Oreochromis niloticus: one gene and its partner. The protein of the gene in region 1 interacts with the protein of each later gene in a pairwise test. Links are inferred from orthologs where the notes say so. Each region holds a gene or a part of one and is shown in the gene's direction. Other genes may lie near its edges. The genes, in order: katnal1 and cox17.

Region 1 (12,701 bases):
GCAGTGAAAGTGCAAGTGAAACAAAAGTTTCACGGAGTAGAAAAGGGAAAAAAAGAAAACTGATGGATTAGCAGTAGTGCTTTGCGTCTTTTGCGTGCAACACCTAAAGGTTTCACATGGATACCACAGCTGTAATGCTTTCATCACATGCTTCCTGAGGACCTTCTCTCCGAGCTTGTAGAGCCTGTGAGAGATTTGTCCACGCCAAACCCAGAAGAACCTAAAGCTGTACGAATGTGCCCACTAGTACTCCTGAGTGGAGAGCCGCTATTAAGCTTTAACTTTATGTTACATGAAGAGTTATTTGGGTAAGCCATTCTCTTTAGAGTGAATAAATAAGCATGCGAGCTTAAGATCGGCGTGAAATCATGGCTTGAGTGTTTGTGATATCAGGCATCTCAAGTGCCTCTTGTTTATGACTATGAAATAACTGGTTATGAACTGGGCTTTAAAATTTATGGTCCTTTTTATGTAGTTGATGCACACAGCGACATCACACACACACACACAGGCGGTGCTGTAAAAACTACTGCGTGAAGTCTAGGAGCCAATGTACTGTACACTCTCTCAGGTTTAGGCTTCAGCAAAAGCCCATTTGCGATGACAGAGGTTCCTTTTTAGATTTAGTGCGATCCGGATGTTCTGGTGACGGCTGCTGTGTTTTATGATTTTGTTTGAAATCAGAGAGTGTATGTGTGTTTTCTTATCTATACTTTATTTTTTTGTGTGTTGCAACAGTTTTTTTTTTTTTTTGTATTGCTTGGGTGTGATGATTTATCTGCTTGCCGGAACACTGCAGAGAAGCCCAGCCAAGCAACCCCTACGCTATTTGCACTTACTGAGATAAATGGTGGAGATAAAATATTACAAATCCTCATCAGCAGAATGCTGGATCACACAAAATAATGACCATAAAGTTGAATCAGCACCTCTGAAAACACTGAAGAGTATAATCACGAATGAGTCTTAGTCAGGGGATTTTTATCAAGCAGTTTTGGGAGTAAAGGGAGAGGAACTGTGGGTAATGACATGCAGCGAAGGCATGGTAGAAATGGAGCTGCTGGCTCCAGAGCTGGGTTTACAAAATAAACTGTTAAATGAGTGCAGTCCCGACTGTCTCTCTGATGAACAATGAAGTTTATTGAAGTAGATGGGGTGCTTGGCTGTGGATTATAAAGCTGTTTTTGGTAAATGTGTCAAATAAACATCAGTGTATGCTGCAGAGCTACAAGTGTGTGTAGTGCTGAGTTTTACAGAAGTCGTATTTATTGCCACTGCATGGTGAAACTGGAAGGTTCGGGTTCTGAAGAGTGGTCTTGTGAGTATTGTGAGTTTAATATGGTGCAAAACAGAAAAATAGTTCAAAAAGGTTCTAATTCTAGGAGGATTGAGTTTTAATAGAAAAATGTGTCATTAATGAAAGTATTGGTAATACTTTTTTCTTTTTTATGAGACATTCATGATGTGTTGACTGACTGAATTGCTGCAGAAAAGCAGAATGATTTTTTTTTCTTTTTAAATCTTACGTTTGTATTTATTTGAGACTGTCTCTGTTTAATGGATTTCCATTGTTAGATGTTCTCTTTGTTTCTTTTTTGTAAGTTGTACAAATTTGTATGAGGTTAATATATTAGTGCTCTTGGAGTGTTTGTGGTTGAGTGATATGTCTGTATGTATATAAATATAATAGCATACATGATTTTAAAAATAAAAATTTATTGATTTAAAAAAACTTTTCTCAAATATTTTGTATTTATTGTGCGGAAGACTTGATTCACCCCTCATTTCTTTTTTCCAATCAGTTAGACTTTCTAGTCTTTATTTTTTTTTAAGTGTTTTTTTCTAAGAAATGCGGGGGGGCTGTTGCTGTTCCTTGAAGGCCAATCGGGAATGGAGAGGATGGCTGCCATGAGGTCATTCTTAAGGAAGGGAAACAGAAAAAAAAATCGGCACAACCATGCTGTCATTTTTGTGTATGGCCAAAAATGAGTAATTAAAATGAAAGGAAAGGGGAAAATAATCTCTAACCATATTCCACGTTACATTTTTTTAATTGTTCTTTTCCTCATGCAAGTTCTCTATCAGATCTCTAAAGAATAATGTGTACAGCTAAATAACACAAGAATTTGATGAATTACTTGTATTCTGCACGTAGCCTACAGCTACGTTTAGGTACATAGGTTCAAAGGTACTCTCCTTTGGAGTCTCGCGATATTTCAGAGCTGTAGCGCCGTCTAGACCGCGAGAAGATGAGCAATGGCAATAGAAAACAAACCTGGGGAGGAATTTGACACAATTTTCAGTCGAAACGACTCCCTGGAGCTCTCCTCTCACCACGAATACGACACTACACACGCTCGGATTTTCAAGATAATAGTAATAGGAGACTCAAATGTGGGGAAGACGTGTTTGACCTACCGGTTTTGCGGGGGCACTTTCCTGAAAAACCCCGAGGCAACTATCGGGGTCGATTTCAGAGAGAGGACGCTGGAGCTGGATGGAGAGAGTATCAAGGTGAGAAGTCCTACATTTTAAGAAAGGCACACGGCAGATACCCGTGAACGTCCACTGCTTTTTTGTCTATGTTAGGTTTATAGGTCAGCTCACAGAGCCTGACCTGGAGTCTGTTTTCAGCCTGTAGGCATGTGATGGAGCTTACTTTAAAATGACCGGTTGTTAAAATGAAGGCTTTGTCACCCCTATGAGGCCATTGTCATTGTTCACAAGAAAGGGAATAACGAAACTTGGTGTAAAGCCAGTTCACAGTCATTTCTGTTCTTGTTCATTTTCATTCTATGCCTGCTTATAGTCCTGTTTGCCTGGAGATTTTCCCCCTTTTTACGAGCTTCCAGTCAAAGTGAAACAGATCTTATTAACCATGCCTCAGTCTGATGAAGTGATCCAGACGCAACACAATAACAAGTCACCCAAGTAGATTTTTAATAGTTTTTTCCCGCAAATTTAAACCCAGTTTTTTGGAGGTGCTGTCAAAAAAGGTCTATTTTGGAGTACTTTCCACAGCAGACAATTTGACGCATCACAGTGGGAACATGCAGTCTATGATAATGACACTCACATTAGCTCTGTCTGTCGGTGTTTCAGTAAACCATGACGGTGAGTGAGTAAAAGGCAGTGAGCCAGGATGCACATTACCCGAATGCCGATAAAAGGAATTCAGCCATCTCTGGTTTAATAATTTAAACCTCAGGTTCTCCTTCTATAAGATGCTCAAGTGTCTGCTGCACAAATGTCCCAACTATCCTAACTTAACCGACATTTTTTTAGCAAGCGCAAAAACCCAGCAGTTGATTGAGTCTGTGGTGATAAAGTATAGGGATGGGTATTGATAAGATTTTAACGATTCCGATTCCATTTTCGATTCTGTTTAACGATTCGATTCTTTATCGATTCTCTTATCGATTCTTATTTTTAAAAAGGAGAACACTAAGGTCGATTAGCTTAGAATTTTGTTTTATATCTTCTCTCTGAACAAGATAGAAATTTAGGAGTAACATGGCCTTATAAACCCAACAGTGAGATCTTAAGAGATCCAGCCTATGGCTCTTCAATGGGGTGTCACAGGGTCCCCGGGGAAAATTGTAAATGTAAAATAATAAAATAAATATTCTTCTGTAGCAATAACAAAGTATAACATAAATTATTCTGTAGCAATTACACAAGAATATTCAGTAATGTCCCTGCCTACAATTAAACACATTCACTTACCATCTGCTGTGGCAAATGGCTGCAAGGTTTTGACCACAAACTTAGTCACTGCTCGGTGACATTCGGGCCTGAAAAGAGACGCTACCGGTGGACTGCAGCGACAACTGCCAGCGAGCGCCAGCCAGACTGTCTGTCTCTCTCATCACGGTCACCTAAATGCAGCGCACAGTAATGGCAGGTTTTGTAATAAAGCAGATCGCGCTAACATAATATGCACTGTTAGTTGATTATTTACCTGCCGCATTAACGGGAGATGACGTGCAAACGTTACCACTGCTGCTGGGTTGAGATTCACGAGTCCGGAGCGGAATTAAAAACACGACATTCATTTAAGTTCATCGCGTGTTTTGTGAGCAAATGCTTTTGCATATTCGTAGTGTTTCCTCCCTTAAATGAAATATCTACTTTGCAAGTATTGCAAGTTGCCCTGTTGTCATCCGTTCTGGTAAAGTATAACCAAACTTTTGAGCGTTTGAGCCGCTTAGGCGCCGTGTTTCCTGCCAGGTACGCTCCGACGCTCCGCAACGTGGTGACGTCATTCGGGGCGACTGGAATCGATAAGGGAATCGTTTGCAAAAATGGCAAACGATTCCAAGGAATTGAAACAGTGGGAACCGGTTCTCAACAAGAACCGGTTTTCGATACCCATCCCTAATAAAGTATGGCTTATTCTGCTGTGCAGTATCCTTCCATTTCCCTGAGGCTGCTAAAACTTTGTTTTGAAAAAAATCAAGATGCATCATGCTGAAACATTAAGAAAAAAACAGTATGTAATTCTGCAAAAATAGAGATGTATATTTACACACACACACAAACACATACAGCATATGTAAGCACTTAGTAGGAACAAACGTTGAAGGTTGGAGCTGAGCAGCATAAACAAAATAGGGAAGCTGGAATGACGCTTTGCTGCCTCCTATTGAACTGGCTGGCAAAAACACAAATATAAAATAACACTGGCCGTATGCTTTAAATAGGACTCTGTGGCATCAATTTGTTTCTGCTGTGCTAGTTACAGATTTGGGACACAGCAGGTCAGGAGCGCTTCAGGAAGAGCATGGTGGAGCACTACTACCGCAGCGTCCACGCTGTGATCTTTGTGTATGACGTGACCAGCCTTTCTTCCTTCGAGAGCATCCCCGAGTGGATTCAGGAGTGCAGCCGGCACTCCGTGGGGCCCCTTGTGCCCCGCATCATGGTAGGAAACAAGTGTGACCTGAGGGACCGCCGGGAGGTTCCCACATCAGCCGCACAGTGTCTCGCTGACAGCTACAACTTCCCGCTGTTTGAGACTTCAGCCAAGGACCCGTCTGAAAAGGAAAATGTGGATGCTATCTTTCTGACTTTAGCTTACAGGCTGAAGAGCCACAAACCCCTGAGACTAAAGCAGCCCAGTGAGAGCAATTTGAGGCAAATGTGGAACCAGAGAGAGCGGGAAGCAGCAACTTGTCAATGCTGAGGTCACCTACATCCTCCATGGATGTACTTGGATTATATAATACTATCATGGCAGTCCTTCAGGAGTGTGCTGAGAAAAGCAGATTTCAACAACACAGAGGCTTAAAATTTATAAAGCACTCTCATATCAGTTAGCTAGAAATGATAGAAGCTTGGTAAGATTTTACAATTTTCCCTGCCTGGTATGAGGCACAGCTAAATTAAATAAACAAGTCAGTAAAATGCATGAATGCATATGGAGGTATGCCGAGTATTTGTAGCCCAAACTGCACTTCGGATCGCCGAGTCTGCAAACAGAAGATTGCAGAGCGCACTTTAGTGGATGCATGATCATAAATGATATGCAGCCGTTGCCAGTACAGCAGCATTACTGCACTATAGTGTATCTGCAGGTCTCAATGCAATTAAAAGACAAACGTAATGAAGAGAAAAATTGATTTTTTTTGTGTGTGTGTGTGTGTGTAAAGGGACCAATAGGATATGCTGATACTGTGACGAACACTGCAATTGAATGTTCTGAAGTGATATTTTAGTTCTTAAAAGTGCAGTGTGAGACTTGGTGCTGTTATTGAATGTATTTGTGTCAGCTAATGCACATGGACAGCTGTTTGAAGAGAAAGATCAAGAACACAAGGGATAAAATGTAGCTGCTCCACCTAGTTCACTTGAAAAGCATGCCTAAAAAGAAATTCAGTGGATCTGAGGAAAAACACCACAGCTGACTGTTTAATGTGTTGCATGTATACAATAATAATAATACACTGTAAAGATGAAAATCAATAAAAGTGGTTGTTTCGGTGTCATGTTCTTTTCTTAATGTTTCTGGTGTTGCTTGCCACTCCAAGTGTAATGTTAGCGGTGGTCACCGCTGAGTCAACACTGCTCTGTCAGTTATTGCTTCACAGCTGGTGTGTTTATATGTGTGTGTTTTGGGGTTTTTTTTCATTTTAATTCATGACCTGTAGCCAATCTAGATCCGCTTTAATTTGTGCTAAGGAAAAAAAAGTTTCACTTAATCACTTGAAAAGGATCGTGTTACACGATTAAAAGTTCCAAAACTACAGCTACAAGCTTTGTAGTGAAATTAAAGACGATACCTTGCAGTATTTGACACATTAGCGACGACCAGTGGCAAACCTGTGCATGACATAGCTCTTTTGATACATTAGCGTAAACACGTAAAATAGCAAATCCTTCATTTGTAGCTAATTGTGTATTTATACATAGAATACATCTAACAATTTAGGCCTTACACTAGGTTAGATTTTGACTGCGTTAATATATAAGCGGCGATCACAGGTCAGCAGCCGAATTGCTTTCATCGGCGACGTCTAGGGTGTCACATTTACCAGCCTGCAGCAAATCCGTGAAAGCAGCACGGCAAAGAGCCGTTTGTATTCCTCGCGCGGCGTCTCTCCGCGGCCATGGTAACACTGTCCTCAATGCTGGACATCTGATTAAAAAGCATACAAGCGAGGGCTTTTCATACAGGTATGAGAATTTTTTTTGTAAACACGCAATTAAAATTTAATTTAGCTCGTCGGTAGGGTGTTTTTGTCTACCGGCAATTTGAACGCACGCTGGGAGGATTAAGTACCGTTTGGGTTATTGCCACAGGATTCGTTTTGTTTTCTCCTCTGTGGCCTAGTAGCAAGCTAGCAAAGGGCTAACGCCGGTAATATTACAGGGTGTGCTTAAAAAAAGAAGCTGATTTGAACAGAGGTTTCATTTAGTAAGCAGGTGAAGCGCCTGGGGCAAATGCGTTCATTCAAAACCGACATCAGCTAGCTTAACTAACGTGCTTTACCGGGTGTAGCCGTTTCTGAGGTATCTGATGGGCAGCCGACATTCAAGGAGCTGCCCCATCGTGTTATAACATTCAATTATAATGAGGACATTTAATAATAGTAATATTAATAAAAGGAAGAAAAACGTGGAGGCTTTAGATTGAAACACTGAACTAGAATTAACCTTTGAACTCTTATGTCTGTGAAGGTTCTCAGTCATCCAGGTCATCGTAGTCAAAGTAGTCAGTTTCTTTGCAAACTCCTTTGACCTTTGAACTCTTACTGTTTCACTAATCAGGTCATGCAATTGCTTGTTTCTTTTTTTCCACGTAGCTGTTATTAAGCATGAATCTGTCAGACATATGTGATAACGCCAAGAAGGGCCGAGAGTACGCCTTGCTTGGGAACTATGACTCCTCCATTGTGTACTACCAGGGCGTCATTCAACAGATCCACAAGCACTGTCAGTCCCTCAGAGACCCTGCACTTACAGTCAGATGGCAACAGGTGAGTCCCGTGGTATATCAGTTACTGAACCTGAGACTTCAGTTCAACTGTACATGGGACTTAATCCTGGATGAAAAGCTTTCCTTTAATGTCAACGGCTGTTTTTTGTTCAAGGTGGATAATTTTAAGAAAACTTTAATTTGTGTCATTTCTCATGTTTGTTGTGATCTATGAGTTTGGTCGTCTCTGGTGGACAAAATACATGCAAAAGCATTCTGTAATGTTGCTGGTGTAAATGCAGAGACATTATAAGAGAGAAGCCTGGCACTCAGAGAATCCTGAATTTAAATCTATGGTGAACTCTGGCACGCAAAGATGATGGCGTAATTTAAATGAAAAATAAAAAGCTAATATCGAGTATTTTATAAGATTTATCTGGTGATTTCTATATTTGCTCTTTTTATGTCCTGGTTACCATTGACTTAAATGCTAATTAAGCACTTTATTAAATTAAGTAACTACCCAAATTGTTGCCTATATATCGATCTGCTGTGTTTTATGCCATGCTTCTTGAAGGAGTTTTTTGTTGTTGTTGTGGTTTTGCTTTTTTGCCCAACATTGTGCATTGTTTTGGTTTTTTTTGTATGTTTTTGTTAGTTCAGCTGCTGTATTTTCAGCTGGCTGCTCAGTGATGCAGTGCAAATACAATACTTCTTCCGTTTGTTTCCAGCTTAGTAAGGAACTGACTGAGGAGTGCGAGCAAGTGAAAACTATCATGACAACGCTGGAGAGCTTTAAGTCAGAGAAGCCGACTGACATCCAAGCCCTGCAGCCGGAGAAGAGAGTAGATCCAGCTGTGTGGCCCCCTCCCATCCCTGCAGAGCACAGGTGTGTGGATGTGTTGGAGCTACGTTTTTAGCTTCATGGATTTTTTTTCTTCTTTTCCTGCTGTCAGTTAAAATAAATAAGTGAAGTTTTGAATATGTGAGCCAGCAAAACAAATACCAGCTGAGGTATCAGTTGGGGAAAAAAACATAAAGTAGTTCTTATTTAGCGTTATAGTAAGCGTGTCGCACTGTGATCTAAAAAAGTTTGGGTTATAATTTTGTTTTAAACTATACTCCAAACTCACCCATAATAAACTACATGCACAGTGCAGTGTCTTAGCCTCACTCTCTAAATTTTGGAGGAAAAATTGTATTATTTTAAGACCATTAATTCCATATAATACATATAATACACAGAAAGCTTAAAAAGATTCTTGCAGACTGCTATCTTTTTGTCAGTTCTCTTTTTTTTCTTTTCATGTGGAGTTTAAAACAACACAAACAAAAAATATGGACTTTTTTCCCTTTTAACTGCAGATTACAAATGCTTTCTCAGTGGCAAACTATATATGTATTTAACTTACTGAACATCAGTTTTGACAGAGATGATTGTTAGTGATGCTACCCAGAAACTCTGGAACACAACATCTCCATAAGGAAGAGCTCTTTAAAGTACAAAGAGACATATTTTGCATAATCACTTTCATCTTTACAAGCACAATGTGCCTCTGCAGAAAAGTAGCAGAGCTGGTTTATAGCTAATGCTCTATAGAAACATTTGGTAAACTGATGGGAACCTGTGGTTGATGGCTCCCTATGTAGGTGTGTCCTGTTATTATCACACTATTATCCATTTGTATATTCCTACGCATATGTCTCTGTAGGAATCCTGTTCCAGTAAAGCGGCCCAACAGTGGAGTGAAGCAGCAGAGGAAAGAGTCCCCTGGCCTGCAGCATCGAGGGGCAGGGCCGGGAGGCCATGCTCAGGCCAGCGCTAAAGCAGACCGGCCGGGATTCACAAAATGCAAAGATGATAAGGTTTAGACTCCGGCTGTGTCATGGTTTAGTGGACAGATTGATAAATAGGAAATGAGTAAGGCTGTGCTCCAAACACATCAGGTTTTTATTTTGTTTCTTTTCCATCTGTTTTTCTCCATCAGGGAAAGAGAGGGGGAGATGTGCAGGGGGATGAAGGGCATAAGAAGTTTGATGGCACAGGATATGACAGTGACCTGGTGGACTCGCTGGAGAGAGATATTGTGTCCCGTAACCCTAACGTGCACTGGTATGGAAGGATCCTCTGATACTTATATAATACTTCTAAGGTTCTGCAATGAGGACATATTTCAACAGCGCTGCTGGCTAATTACTTTGGTAAACTGCAGGAATGACATTGCTGATTTGGAAGATGCTAAGAAGCTGTTGAGAGAAGCAGTGGTGTTGCCGATGTGGATGCCTGATTTCTTTAAGGGCATTCGCCGCCCATGGAAGGTACACGCACATACACAAACACACCTGTGATTCTTCACATATTCTCTACAGGCAAACTTTATCTAGTTCCTTACTGGGAGTTTTAAAAAATGTGTATGTAATTACAGAAATCTATAAAGATGTTTCTCAGCTGTGAGCTACTCACTTTGTTCAGTAACACACCTACCATTTTGAGTATCTTGCAGCATGTTGCACCAGCTACATCAAAGTTTGAGCGTTAAGGTCAACACCAACTTCTACATCAAGACTAGTTAGCTTCACACTAAATCTAGCACTTCATTCAAGTGCACCATTTCTGTTGACACTATCACTGTCAACTCAAGTCAGCCTCAGTTCAGTTCTGCAGACTTTTGTTTTATCTTGCTCGTTTCTGTCCACATGTTTCCAAACTTTCCTGTATAATTTCCTAAAAAATGATCGTCTCGTTGTATCTGATCACGTGAGATTTGGCCTCATGCAGCACATTTCTCTCTCTCTCTCTCTCTCTCTCTCGAGTAATTAAAATGTCAAACTTAGCATTTCTCTTCTGCCGTGGCATAAAAGATTCCATCAACAACTTAACAGTTCCAAGTAAATACAGCATAAAATCACGTCGAAGTCGTTCACAGTCAACATGTGCTTGTTTTAAATAAAGACAATAAATAATAATATTTTGGCTCACCTAACAGTAACATTAACAGTAAATGTTAAACAAGTCGCGCCTGTTCAGAATCAGAAAGTGACGCTTTCCTTCTTATTTCTGTCTTGTGTTCATGCATGCAAATTTCCATAAAGTCGAGGTTCAGTGAGTGGAGAGAGAGAGCAAGCTAACACAGAGAGCTTGACAGACATCACAAAAAACCACTAAATTATCAAATAATTTTCATTTGTGATAACTTCAGCCTCAAATAAATGACTGATGAGGAAGATGAAGACACATTTTAAGAATAAGAACCAATCTGCAAATGTCATTTGATAAAATGGAACAACTTGCATATGTAATGTCATTCATTTTATCTATAAACAGGTAACATCTACCAATACACTGCAGAATGCAGTTGGCTAAATTCAGAAAGAGCGGTAAACTTCGAAGCCCGGCTGATCACGTAGCCTGATCACAAGTAAAATGCACCAACTAAAATGTTTTTACAAAGTCACAGTCTCCACGGACTCCACAGAGATGGGAGGCTTCTTCTGCATCAGCCTCGGTTAAACTTTCATCATGTGAGACCGCTTCCCTTGAGGCCCAACCATGTGAGGGTTAATACTTTATGGGGGGGGGGGTTATAGGAGCACAATGCTTTTCATTTGTCTTATATAGGCATGCATAATTAAAATTCTTCACTAACTTTAAATAGATGGATAGACTTTTTTTTCTTTTTCTTTTTTTAATCGCTGAAAGTGAAGTAAAATTAAAGAGTGATAAGTCAGTTGCAGAGGAAAACAGGTTAATGGTTGTTTTCTCAGCACACAGGTGAGTGGAGGCATGTATTTTATTAGCACGCACATTTAGGTCTACGCAGTTCCGTTTTGTTCTGTGCTCTGCAGCACGTCTGACTGTTTCTACTCCTAATGCAGGTGCACATACGCTCCCATCTGCTCCTGCTGAGATTCTGATCAATACCCACCGCAGTACTGTTTTATATTCCGAGTAGCTCGACTCAGTCCTGCAGTCAGCGTAAGACACACTAGCCTAAATTGACTGAGGCATAAAAATAAAATTTCTTTAAAATGAAATGGATTATGTCAGCCGTGCTTCCTTTTGTGGTTTCTGTAATCTCCGTAGCAAAAGGCACCGAGCAGATATAGAACTGTTAGACGCCGGAGTGGCAGCGATATTAAAAAATGGTTATAGAGGAGATTTAAATCAGGGTTTGACACTTTTGTTTAATATCACAGGCTTTTAAATAACACGCAATTATCCAGTCTCAAACAGGGATTACAGTCTACGGGAAGGCAATCCATTCACATTCAGACTAATATCCTATTCTCACAGGAGCGAGCTTTAGAGGTGCTGGTAAATGGATTTTTTTCTTTTTTTTTTAACATCTGGACTGAGCTAGCCCCCTCCCCCCAAATCTCCTGTGTGCTCAACTATCGTAATGTTTAACTTGGTATCGATCTTCTCATGTGAGTCTTGACAAGGCAGCTATTAAGTCTATTTCCCAGGAAGTTCTTAAAAGGAATGTGGGAGCCGCATACTGATATAATGACTGTTAATAGTCGTAGTGAACTGAATACTGATCCTCTGTGTTTGCAGCCTGATGCTTTCTCTCTGTGTGTGTGCAAGTTCATTCGTTTATATGTTTTAAGATTGTGTGACATTTTGCTTCTTAGGGTGTATTAATGGTCGGCCCTCCAGGTACGGGGAAAACCATGTTAGCCAAAGCCGTGGCCACAGAATGTGGGACCACTTTCTTCAATGTGTCCTCCTCCACGTTGACCTCCAAATACAGGGGCGAGTCGGAAAAACTTGTCCGTCTGCTGTTTGAAATGGTGAGTGTGTGTGGAAATAAGTATTTGGGCCTATGGGCAAAATGCTGAACCCTTGCATTTCATCTCGTTCCCTGTGAGTGTGTGTGTATGTTTTTTGAATGGGTGAATCAAAGTGAAATTACGAAGCACTTTGGATAAAAGCAGCACAGAAGAATACGGCCGCTTCCTATTTACATGTGTGTGTGCACTGCAGCGGAAAGGAAACTCACAATGCGAAACTTCTTCCTTCTCAGGCCCGATTTTATGCGCCAACGACCATCTTTATAGACGAGATCGACTCCATCTGTGGCAGGAGAGGAACATCTGATGAACACGAAGCCAGCCGCAGGGTCAAATCTGAACTTCTTATTCAGATGGATGGTTAGTGGATTAGAGAAATAGGAAGGTGAAGCTGTGCGGTGCTTGCTGTTACAGTTGTTTGAGGGATTAATCAAGGATATTGCAAAAATTTGAATTAGAAGCAAACGGGACAGGTGTCATAATGCATTTG
Region 2 (11,510 bases), about 5.1 Mb from region 1:
TTCTTGTGCAAATGTACATGTTTGATCATTCAACTGCTTGTATTTCTAGCTTATTGTGACTTTAGAAAAAAAATAAATAATGGTTTTTAATAAACTCAAAATATGCTTTAAGGACAGATTTCTTGATCCAAACCTAATTTACCAGTCAGTTAAAAGCACACTACCCACAGAGGTTTATGACACAAACTGCCACAATGGACAAGAGAATAGACAAAAAGCTTACTGAAACAAGAACACCTCCAAAACGCGAGCGATGTGTTGATAAAACACTACATTAACCCTCAGCCTGCCATTCTAACATGATCTGATTCCTGAACAGAGCCCAGATTTTTGGCTGCAAGATCTGGTAGCGATGAGACAGGCATCTTTCATCAAAAGAAAAAGACAGCTAAAGGACAGCATAAAGTTTCCAGGATTTATGGGAACCCCCAACAAAACACACACTACAAACCATTTATTATCGCAACTACCAGTTTATAAACAAACATAGATAATGCAATAAAAACACCTTGCCAGAGAGATAACGGTGTTGTCCTATATGAAACTGTCATTTGTTACGTAAACCCATGTTGATTGAGCCCAGTGTTTCTGTATTTACTGTTTGCCAAACACAGATAGGCAAATTCACTTAGAAAATAAACATATTGCCCATCAGTGCACGAGCATGACATTGCTAAGTGTCAGATTTGTCACTAGAGTCCGGTGTCGTAAGTATCAGCAGCAGGGAGGAGAAAGGCTGATTGAATTTCAGAGGTGAGCTTTGAAGACTATCTGGCATTTAAACTTACTTTCTCCACTTCGTTGAAGAACCGGACCAGTCTGGAGACTCGAGCCAGCCTGATTAAACTGAGGATCCGCACAAACATCAGTATCCTCATCATCTTGTTGGTCTTGGAGGGGTTGTCATCGTTGTGGTAATGTAGTCCCTGACATTGAACATTAAAAATGCTGCAATTAGAATCTTAATCCACCTCATTTGCTCATTTACAACTTTGCTTAATTAATAAGTGTCAGCAAGGCTTTCTTCCTTTTCTAAGTGCTAACATATACAGTACAGAAGAAGTACAGTGTTGGCTTTTCCTGCCTCTTCCTCTTTATTATTACCGCAAACAGCAGTATGTAGCCAATTGGGAAAGCTGCTATAACGTCTGGAATGAACCATGTCCTCAGGTAGCTGACTCGGATCCGCTTGATATCCAGAATTGCTTCCTGTAAAACAGAACAGAGCAGATAGATGAAGACGCCGTTCACCATGTGCTACAATCGCATGTATAATTTAACACTTGAACTAAAACAATATTTGGAGAGGTAATCCAAAACTAAGAGTGAGTGTGATGTCAGACGAGTTTGGCAGGGTGCTGAAAATGTTACTGAGGCACATGCATCAATATTTCAAGCAGACTGAGAGTAAATCTGGCAAAACCAGATGTGCGGTCGAGAATAAACACCACACACAGGAAAAACATCACAGATGGGCCATTAGGAAGACAGAAGTCACGAAACACGAGCCAGCGAAAACAAACAGGATATATTGTGCATAATACTTAATTTGAAACGTTATACTTCTCATTCATCCACAACATCATAATCCCCGTTATAAAATCAAACAGCAGTTGCCGTTTTCACCCGTGTCCAGGAGCTAAGGGGGATGCCGCTAATCTAGCCTTTCGTGTATTCAGTAGATTACAGATGGTGCAGAGATGGAATGTATGTGCTCGTCTGCACCCGGATTATAGACTTCCAGATTGTGTCTGAAAATAGAATATAGCCACTCTCACCTCTGCGTCCTCGGTTATGATCCCCGTCCGGAAATTCAGTGCCACATCTATTAGGAACAAAGTGTCTGAAAACACGTTAAAGCCTTCCCATGCCAGCCCGCTGTTTCCGTCCAGAAAGGCTATCTCCATGGGAATCCCAATCAGGTTCAGAAATGTGATGACCATCATGATCAAGATGTAGTAACTCCTAGGGGAGGAATGGTCACAAAAACATATGTGTGACTTTCCAGTAACTCTTATTTTCCATGTCACAGTGTAGTGGAAAGTCTCACATCATTTGCTAGAAGAACTCATTAGACAGCCAGTAAGGCAAGCCGATTCATGCACACTAAATACTCTGATAATGTAAGTGTACATCTCCTCAGCCAGGGTACGATTGCCAGGCTCAAATAACTCTGCTCTCTGATCTCAATTGTTTCATTCCCTCTCTAATTTCCCTCCATCTGATCATCTTACAGACTAATATTAGCAATCCTGCATATATAATACAAAACCAGCTCTCTGTGAAAACGCGTTCCTTAAAGAAGTCATTTGATAGGTCCGTATTTTTCTTCTAACTCGGTTATTGCTTATAAACCTTGGATCGTTCTTTTAGGTTTTCTTGTGTCACTTCAAAATGTATTTGTTTCCTTTTATCCTAAAAATAATGCATCTTATTTTCGGCTTTATTTCTAAGCTTTCTCTATTGTGATATCAGAAGAAAATCATTCTCATTGCCAATAAATGACTGGATGAATAAATACTGTTTAGCAGTCAAACAACTCTAGTCCTTAAACACACTAGAAAAAAACACTTTAAAAGTTTAAACTAGAGAACTCAAGAGGAATTCCTCTTCTGTCTCATCCAACAATGGTGTGAACGGTGTGATTTATGGAATATGCTAAACTTATGGTACTCAGTAAATCTACTGGATACAGTAAATCTATAAGCAGTATCTATATTTGTTTTCATTAATGCACTTATTCTAATGATATTCTAAGGAACAAGTTAATGCAATGCACCTTTGTATTTCCAGTAAATACTCCAAAAACTGAACTATAAAATGCATAATTATTTATTAAATGTAAGGGAGAAATTAAGTAATCAATTAACTATAAAAACTTACAGAGACAGACCAAAGAAACAGTGGAAGTGATATGCATGACTGACCTCAATCTATCAGATATATTAAATACCTCATGAGGCTGAAAGGGTGAATGACAAAGACTCCACTCTCCAGCTGTCGCATACACTCCTTCTCCACGGCCACCTCGCTGCCGTACACGTACAGGGACTGTCTGTTCAGTTGCGGGAGAAGCAGGGCTCTCCATCCACAGTTGGCTTTGGTGCATGCTACGTTGGGACCTTTCAATTTCTCCATGGCCAACTTTAGTTCCCTGTGATCAGCCGAATGCCATCCTCCCCTCTGCTACTGCTGCTTCTGCCTCTCCTGAGGATGAGTAGAGCCTGACTCTACCAGCTCTGACCTCTCCTATTGGTCACAAGGTAATATTCTAACTAGGCTCCCAACCTCAGGGCTTATTGAAGCTGTGCGGAGCGAGGCGAGTGGATACCCGCCTTTCTGCTCGATCCCTCCCTCCCTCCCTCCCTCCGCACCCTCTCCGTCTGCCTCTCTCTATTTCTGCCCCACTCCACCCCTACACTTCTTTTCTTTTTCACCCAGCTCATCAACTATTCAGTATCTGTGTCTCATCCCCACATAAATCAAGCCGTGTCAAGAGGGCAAGGTCCGGCTCACATTAATACAAAGACAATGATGGGTGTGTGCATGTACAGGGGATGGGAAGGGATCGCAATTATTGTCATGTGAAATAGACATCTGGCAGCATGTACAGGGACAAGTTCAACCTGGGCCACCTCTAACTAGGGATGTAATTAAACCCTGTACTGTGTTACCTGATGCTGTACATATGCATGCAGCTTTGAGCCAGCTCCCATGTTGTTTGTTTGCACATATCACATCAGTAACAGAAAACAAAACAAAGGCTGAAATATTTATTTCCCTGGATGACAAAGTGGAAAATTTGGACCTGAATCTTTTTTGAACTCTGTTGGGTGGGTGGGATTCATTGCAAACTTGTTAGTTTAACAAACGAAAAATAAAACTGATATTAGAGGTTGTGCCAGCACAGTGGGATTAACTTAGAGACCGTGTCAGTGGGTAAGGTGAATTACTGGCAGCTTAGGCCATGGGATGTGTCTAATAATGTGAGCTACATTTTATGAGATGAAATCTTTTTTAATAACTTTGTACAACTGTCCCTGTGGAGAAGGGTACAGGAAACAATAAAAGTGGTTGTGTATAAGAAAATTCTCTCTGTTAGAGTCCAGACTTTGCAGATTTGCAAGGGAAATTCTGTTGACGTGATTCTTGTGTGTGTGTGGGTGTGTGTGTGTGTGTGTGTGTGTGTGTGTGTGTGTGTGTGTGTGCGTGTGTGTGTTAGACCTGTGCCAACCTGTCCAGGTGCACAGTGTCTTTCCCTCAGTGTGTGTCCTAAAATAGGCTTCAGTTCTTTGTGACCTCAAATCCAAAAAAAGACTTACGAGATTATTGGATGTCATACTGATGTAGTTTTCACTTTCACTGACATGTAAGTATTAAGCATTAAATTCAGGCTACATATCTTCAAATAATAAAGCAATGTCTTTTTTCTTGGTGTATTTGGTTATGGTTAATTTAAAGTAAAACAATATTAATATGGAATAGAAACAATGGATTTAACACATTCCACACTCTCTAAGTCAAACCATTTACCTCAACTTCCAGTTCTGGCATTAAAACATACACAACACATTCAGGACATCTGTAGTTCAGGAGGTACATTTGGTTGTCTGCTAATCAGAGGCTCAGCCGGTTCATTCTTTTTCAAGATGCTGAACCCCAGATTGTCCCTCATGCATGCTTTGGATGACTGCATGGTTGTTAGAAAGCCCTGACAAAAACAGCTCATTGAGTAACCCAACCTGCAGTTTAGCCTGCAACTGTCTTCTTTGTTTTCAGTGTATTTCGCAAGTTGTCTGTTTCAAATAATCTAATCAAACAATAGTAAAATAGGAGGCCTACATTTGTCTTTCAACAGAAGCTACTGGAAGTTTTCTGCCGACCGGACAACAAGGCATCAGGCGATCAGGACTCAAACTATGGCTCTCCACCTGTCTTCCATTTGTGAACACTGAAACAGTATTTGGATCAAATTGAGCATACATTGCAGACATCATATGCATTTATATATGTTTCACATACACAGTAATACTGTGGAAAGCATAGCAAAGACTGCAGAAAATGGAAGTGCATGTATCACAGTGAACAATATGCTTACTTGCTTATTTATCTAGCACACAGCTGGCCCTCAAACTAGAATAAGTGACTCACTGCCTCTGCTTACGCATTGCTTTGTTGTGCTGACGCACAATAGACCCAGTAGACATGTTGAAGCGCACACATACCTTTCAGTACTGCAGGTCCGAAAATGAACATTTTTCATATTCCAAAACTCCCGAGGCAACGTTGTGTATATTGCACCCACCAGCAGCAACTGCGTCTTACATAACAGAATATCTTACAGAATTGTGTAGAAAAATAAAATCTGTGCAGTGCTGATGTTAATTTTCTGCGTGTACACGTTCTTGATTATTACTAAAGTGTAGGTTTTATAGGAAGCGTGATGCTGCAACAAGTTATTTCTAATTTTTAAGATAAAAATATTTTAAAAATCTGGTTGCAGCTACTCAAATGTGAATGTTTGAAAGTTAAATGTTTGGGGTTGGACTCAATAATCTGCAATCATCCAGCACTGACATATCATTAATACCACGGTGCAATAGAACTTGAAGCTTGGTGATGTCGACCATGTCGATGAACCTGATATCCTGAATCTTAAATGTCAGCTGCCCTTTGTACATTTTTTCTAATGTACTAATTCTGTCAGTCTACAAAACAGAAAACAGAAGAACATAATATAGTGGGAATTTAAGAACACTGTAGCATTAGCACCTGTAGAAATGATTATGTACAGTCTGAAACATTTTTCAGATGTATTCTGTAATATATACCAAGCAGGTTTTGCACATTTTCTTTATACTGTCTAAATAAATGTAAATATATAATGTATTTTTCATATTGTCGTTTTCTTTATTTGATGTGTATGTGTATGTGTATTTTTTCAGTGGAAATATAGGCAGTTATAGTTATATAGTTCATAAATTATTTAGCAACATTTCTCTTGTTGTTACATCTGTAATGTGATATTTGGGTCTTTTATTCAACTATATAGTCCTACATTGTGCAGGACTATATAGTTGCCCTACCTATTACAAGAAATACAATTGTTTTGGTCTTTTTGGCCAAATTAAACCTTAACTATGAAAAACTTTTAACAATCAAAAGGGGACATTAGTTGGACATAAATATTTGTGATCCCCTTTTTTCAGTTCAAACAGAATATTTGAAATAGTCTGACCCAGTGTTGGAATATGGCAGATAACTAGCTGGCTAGCTAACTAGCAAACTAACTAAATAAAAAAGAAATCTTAAACTTAGTATCGTCTTTAGCTATTTTAGCTAAGGGTTTCAATTTTACATGTAAGTTAATGTTTAAAAAAAATCAAATTAGCTAATATTTTCAAGGTAAACTAATCAATAAATAATCAGCACATAAGTTAATGCTTGAATATTCAGCACTGAGAATAATGTCAGCATGCCTCTAACAAGTTCACCATACACTCACATACCTGTCTGCCTGGTGGTTTCTCTTCTTTCTCCTCGCCTTTGTTTCTAAGCACTACATTTCCCAAAAGTCTCTAACACGGCACATGACATAGTCACGTGACTTTGACACGCGAACACGTGTTTCCCGCATGTTAGTTTCATTTTGAAGGTGAAGCGTCTGTGTACCAGCGGCACTGTCGGCCTCCTCATACAAGTAAGAGAGCGTTACACAACATAGCTTAGCTACGTTCATAACGAGCAGGTGGCTTAATTGCTACACTACGGCTTGAGTAGGTTTGGACGAAGCGTTTGTCACCATGTTGTATGTTGTGTGCATGTTATTAGTTATGTCATCACTGTTAGCCACCGAGAGCTAACTTTGTTAGCTGACAGTAACATTACACAACAAGGGTTAGATAAAGCTAGTAAACCACAACACTGAGGCAAACACAGGGTTTGTTTGTTTGTTTGTTTTAACTTATTATGAGCAACTCTCTGAAGGCTCGGATACTTCAGAGTCATGTGTTGTGTGTTGCATGTGGTGACTTTGCCGGTTGACCTAATCATAACTACATAACTACCTTATCATTGCATCAGTTCAGCGCCCTTCAGCAGCATAAGTGTAATGGTAGGACGTTTCACGCGTAATTAGTTGATTAGCAGTTTTATGAAACGTCATAATGAAGCGACACCAAAATAATAAAAATAGTGGCTTACTTTGGCGAATCCTCACAGTCTTCTTTTATTCAACTGTATTTTGTATGATTATGAGCTTTCTGGTTGGACCGTGAGTGTTTGGAGTATTTTAGTGGCATTGCTTTCCTCATCCTGTGTTCTAGTCGTCAAACATCAATTAGTCCTTTTTGTTGAATATTAAAACAAAGCAATAAAGAATTCATAGGACCACAGTCGGTTCACACCTCTTTATTTGATATGTGAAGAAAAATTCCTGTTGCATATTCCAGCTTCCCTGTGAAAAGTGTTTGTCAGGTGACAAAGACATGTGTAAATCTAAATGAAGCCTGAGTGAAAATACACGCATATTACTCAGTGGTTAAAGTTTGCCAGTCCTCAAAACTCATCTCATTTCCTTGTTTCAGTCAGAAGATGTCAGCCCTGTCTGCTGCCAGCGTCGAGTCTGCAGCTGTGACTGAGAGCACAGAGCAGAAGAAGCCACTGAAGCCATGCTGCGCATGTCCGGAAACAAAAAAAGTCAGGGATGCTTGGTGAGGAGCTGGCCAGAGAAATTGAAACGGTCTTCACGTTTTAAGTGAGAATGGTTATTCATCCAACATCTTTGTTTCCACCAGCATCATTGAAAAGGGAGAGGAAAACTGCAGGGACCTTATTGAGGCACACAAAGACTGCATGAGGGCACTTGGATTCAAGGTCTAACTAGTTCTTCTGTGCGTGCTTGTGTGGTAAGTATTAAATAAAACCACTTCAAACAGTCCCAGAGTTAATTTTTCCAGGGAACTAGAGTCATTTGTAGCGATTAGATACCACACTAGAACATGAGTGCACCAACATGCACAATGTTACTGTCAGCTTTAATATAAATATAGAATTGCAAGAACTTTGAGTGACACACATTTATCATTATTATTTTTGATACTGTCAAAATGAAACTTGCATGTGATGGTTGCACACTGAGTTTACATGCCACTAGTTGAATGTGCTTTGACAGCCTGAATCCAGTTTGAATAGAGTCAGTGTGGCGTGAAAGTGGGCACCTGACCTTTCTGTGAACCATGAAAAAGCCGGACCTTACTGTAGTATCAGCATTATTTGTTTATGCTGGGTTTAACGGCTTTCCCCTTTTGCCAGGGCAGCCCTTTTTAGGACAGCTCAATTTAAATAAAATATCTTCCAGCTTTTCACTTGCATACAGTGTCAGGTGTGATGTAGTAGTCATGTGAATTGCTGATTGTGTGCATTTTGGTCTCTTGCAGTGTGTTGCTGTGTGTGGAAGGTGACCCTGAGTATTTGTTTCTTCACTCCCCCCCTGCACTTCTTATTTATACCTTTTGTTGGATTAACTGTGCGAAAACTATTTTTTCAAGTCTGCAAAATCTGAGAAATTCTGATGTGAAATTGAATAAAAATCCTATGCAATAAACTTGTTGTGAAGGTGTTTTATTAGTCGTGCACTCATCTTAAGGTTTGCATTGAGGATCTGTTCTGCCAAGGGAAACGGTTGCTTGCCACAGTTGCTGTTCCTGGTATGCACTTACAGTTAAATATAACTCTTGCCCCTGCAAAGTCAATACTTGGCATATCTGCATTCTTTTTCCACAGTGTGTCACTGTCACTGAAGTGTGCTTGGCTGTGGACATTATTTTCACACTTTGAAAAAACACTTGAAAGGAATGCGATAGTGTATTGGAAAACACTCCTAATTCACTTCATATTATGCCTACACTGAAGGGATTATATACATACATGATTATGTATATGTATACCATTACATACGTATATAGGACCACTTTAAACATAGTAAATATCCCTCAGTAGTCATGTAGGAAGTGTTTCTCACATCTCTGTAGGCTGACAAGTGCAAAGTAAAATTATTAGTATCAAAGATTCAATACTGTACACAGGTTGTATAAACAAACCTATTAACATAAGCTATGTTACAATTTACGTTTTCTAATTTAATGTGCTTTATAATGTTGTAGTTTGAAATTATTATGTTATATATATCTGTATATGTTGCCAGTCAGCAGTTTAAAAGTCACCTCAAATCATGTCAGATTCTTAATTCAGTGCATGCTTATACTAACTTAAAATGAGAGATTATCTGTTCACTTAGCTAACATTCATAATTTTATGTCTGCAACAAATGAGAGAAATCTTACACAGAAGGGTGCTCATGGAGAATGCAAAAACCAAAGCTCTGTTTCTCAAATTAAAAATGAAGCAATTGAGAAATTCGCCTACATTTATTGCTTTCTTCTTTTGCACGTGATCCACTTCTCCGTCAGGTTACATGAAATTTGGCAGATTTCTTTTTATGTTATCTTGCTGACAAACAGACAAATTGCACTGAAAACACACCCTCCACCTTGACGGGAGGAAAAAGCGCGTCTGGCTGTAACTTTTATGGCATTGAATTTAAAATCCTTCTTTTGATTACACTATCTCTGAACATTTAGTACTGCAAACAGTGTGCCTCCTTATTGCCAATATTGATGTTTGGCCGACATATTGGTTCGTCACTTACCGTACGCTAAAGGAAATCATAGACATTAGAAGCCCATCTAGCTTTCATCTGCTTTTATTCACTAGGATTCAGATTGCTGTCCTCCTGTCAACCAGAGACAACTAGCAGGGCAACAGCGACACAAACAGCCAAACAGAGAGAAAGAAAAATCTGTCAAAAACTGGGAGCACTGTTCCTGAATATATGGAGTTCTGTATTCTTGTACCTTAAAAAACAACACTTTGCTCAGTTTCGACTCATTTATAACACGATCTATTTTCTCCTGATTACTAGGTGTGAAATTTTTAATATTAATTTCCATTGCAAAGTTTTAATTTTAAAATAGCATTCGTTCTTATTTTCACTGAGCAATATTCATATAGACTGATATTTAGTCCCTGTGAGCTGTCCACACGCTGAGAGCCGGATATGTGAGGCGATGTTGGTGTGTGTGTTTATACCTGAAATCTGACCTGAGCTGCCATCCTACTTATTACAGTGTCTCTAAATATGCACCAGCAGAGCCACACTTCCTGCGAGCAAACTGGACTCAGTGAAGCCTGTGTGAAACTCTGAACCCCCCTGGAGGAACTTCTTTGTCGGATAAAAAAAAAGTGGGTGACACTTTGTGAGTCTCTCTGAGATACTACTTGTTATAGTCCCTCTTGTCCCTCCTGTTTCCTGCCTCCCTCTCCCCCTCTCTGTCTCTCTCTTGTGCTCTCTTTCTCTCTTTCTGTTATGTTAAGTAGCAGGCCTGCTTTCTGTCTGCCACTCTGTCCTCCTTGGGTTTCAATTCCAAACATGGTTATCCTTCTAGGGCCCTATCGACTCCCCCCCCTCGCCTCCCTTATCCTTTTCTCTTCCAGCTGTTGGCTCTACAGTGCAGGCCAGAGGGTGAGAAAAAGAGACAGAAAAGCACAGCAAGAAAGACTACGGGAAAACTTGGAAGGGAAAGACGGGGCGAGAAGCCAGAGGAGAGAGGAAGGGACGCATGATGAGAGGAGAAGAAACAGAGGAAACCCATTCCAGCTGTGTTTCTGCAACAAATAGAGTTGTGATAACATCTTCACGGTGAAGAATTTTCTGCCGCTGCACGCCAAGGGAACAAACAATTACATCTGACATTTTTGGTCAGTATCAGGCTGTTTATTTTTAATCAAGCTGTAATCCAAACAGATGATCTAGTAATAGGACAGAAACAGCACTGAGTTTGAGTGGATAACAAGTGTTATTGGTCCCTTCTTAAAAAACCCCACAAAACAAACAAACTTTGCTTTGTGCACCAAGAGCCTTTCCAGAACTTATTCGAAAAGATTTAAACATGAGTGCAGACAACTCTAGCCTGCTGGACAGCCTGCTCTTTCCCCCTCTCTGCGATGGCTGGAGCAACAACACAGAGGGAGCCATCTACCAGTTGGGTAACACCATCCTCTTTCTGGGCTACATGGGAGGAAGCGGGGCCTACGGGTGCCTCTTCATCTTCGGCTTCCTTTGTCCCGGTTTCCTGTGTCTCCTTCTGTGGGGATTGCTTACAGTGTGCGGCCTGGATGTCTTCACCTGGAACCTGCTTCTACTACTGGTCTGCTTGCTTCAGCTCTGTCACCTCCTTTACCGGCTGCACCAGGAGGGCATACGAGGTGAGGAGCTGGCCTCCCTCTACCAGGCGGTCTACCTGCCCCTGGGCGTGCCTGTCCAGGTGTTCAAGGAGATTGCAAAGGCTTTTGAGAACAAGGTGCTGGAGCTGAAAGCAGGAGAGACTTATGCTGTGGAGGGAAAGACCCCCATTGACCAGCTCTCCTTTCTGCTTTCTGGAAGGTGAGTG

What was found.
Region 2: the proteins of katnal1 (region 1) and cox17 interact in binary tests that used the Homo sapiens proteins (3 or more experiments, as listed by UniProt). The two-hybrid records come from large-scale screens. The link is inferred for Oreochromis niloticus from reciprocal best matches to the Homo sapiens genes KATNAL1 and COX17.

What each region holds. Positions count from the first base shown.
Region 1 is NC_031987.2:22,557,112-22,569,812, reverse strand, and holds the start of katnal1 (katanin p60 ATPase-containing subunit A-like 1), read left to right. Parts: upstream 1-6,507; 5' UTR 6,508-6,675; intron 6,676-7,304; 5' UTR 7,305-7,316; coding exon 7,317-7,592; intron 7,593-8,148; coding exon 8,149-8,306; intron 8,307-9,129; coding exon 9,130-9,283; intron 9,284-9,405; coding exon 9,406-9,530; intron 9,531-9,630; coding exon 9,631-9,736; intron 9,737-12,052; coding exon 12,053-12,211; intron 12,212-12,444; coding exon 12,445-12,571; intron 12,572-12,701. Other genes in the region: zgc:101559 (ras-related protein Rab-33B), read left to right, coding at 2,257-2,514, 4,739-5,185. UniProt on the Homo sapiens protein: Regulates microtubule dynamics in Sertoli cells, a process that is essential for spermiogenesis and male fertility. Severs microtubules in an ATP-dependent manner, promoting rapid reorganization of cellular microtubule arrays.
Region 2 is NC_031987.2:27,668,137-27,679,646, forward strand, and holds cox17 (cytochrome c oxidase copper chaperone), read left to right. Parts: upstream 1-6,564; 5' UTR 6,565-6,700; intron 6,701-7,586; 5' UTR 7,587-7,593; coding exon 7,594-7,712; intron 7,713-7,796; coding exon 7,797-7,881; 3' UTR 7,882-7,907; intron 7,908-8,438; 3' UTR 8,439-8,605; downstream 8,606-11,510. Other genes in the region: hcn5 (hyperpolarization activated cyclic nucleotide-gated potassium channel 5), read right to left, coding at 789-926, 1,105-1,209, 1,779-1,965, 2,954-3,138; popdc2 (popeye domain-containing 2), read left to right, coding at 11,010-11,503.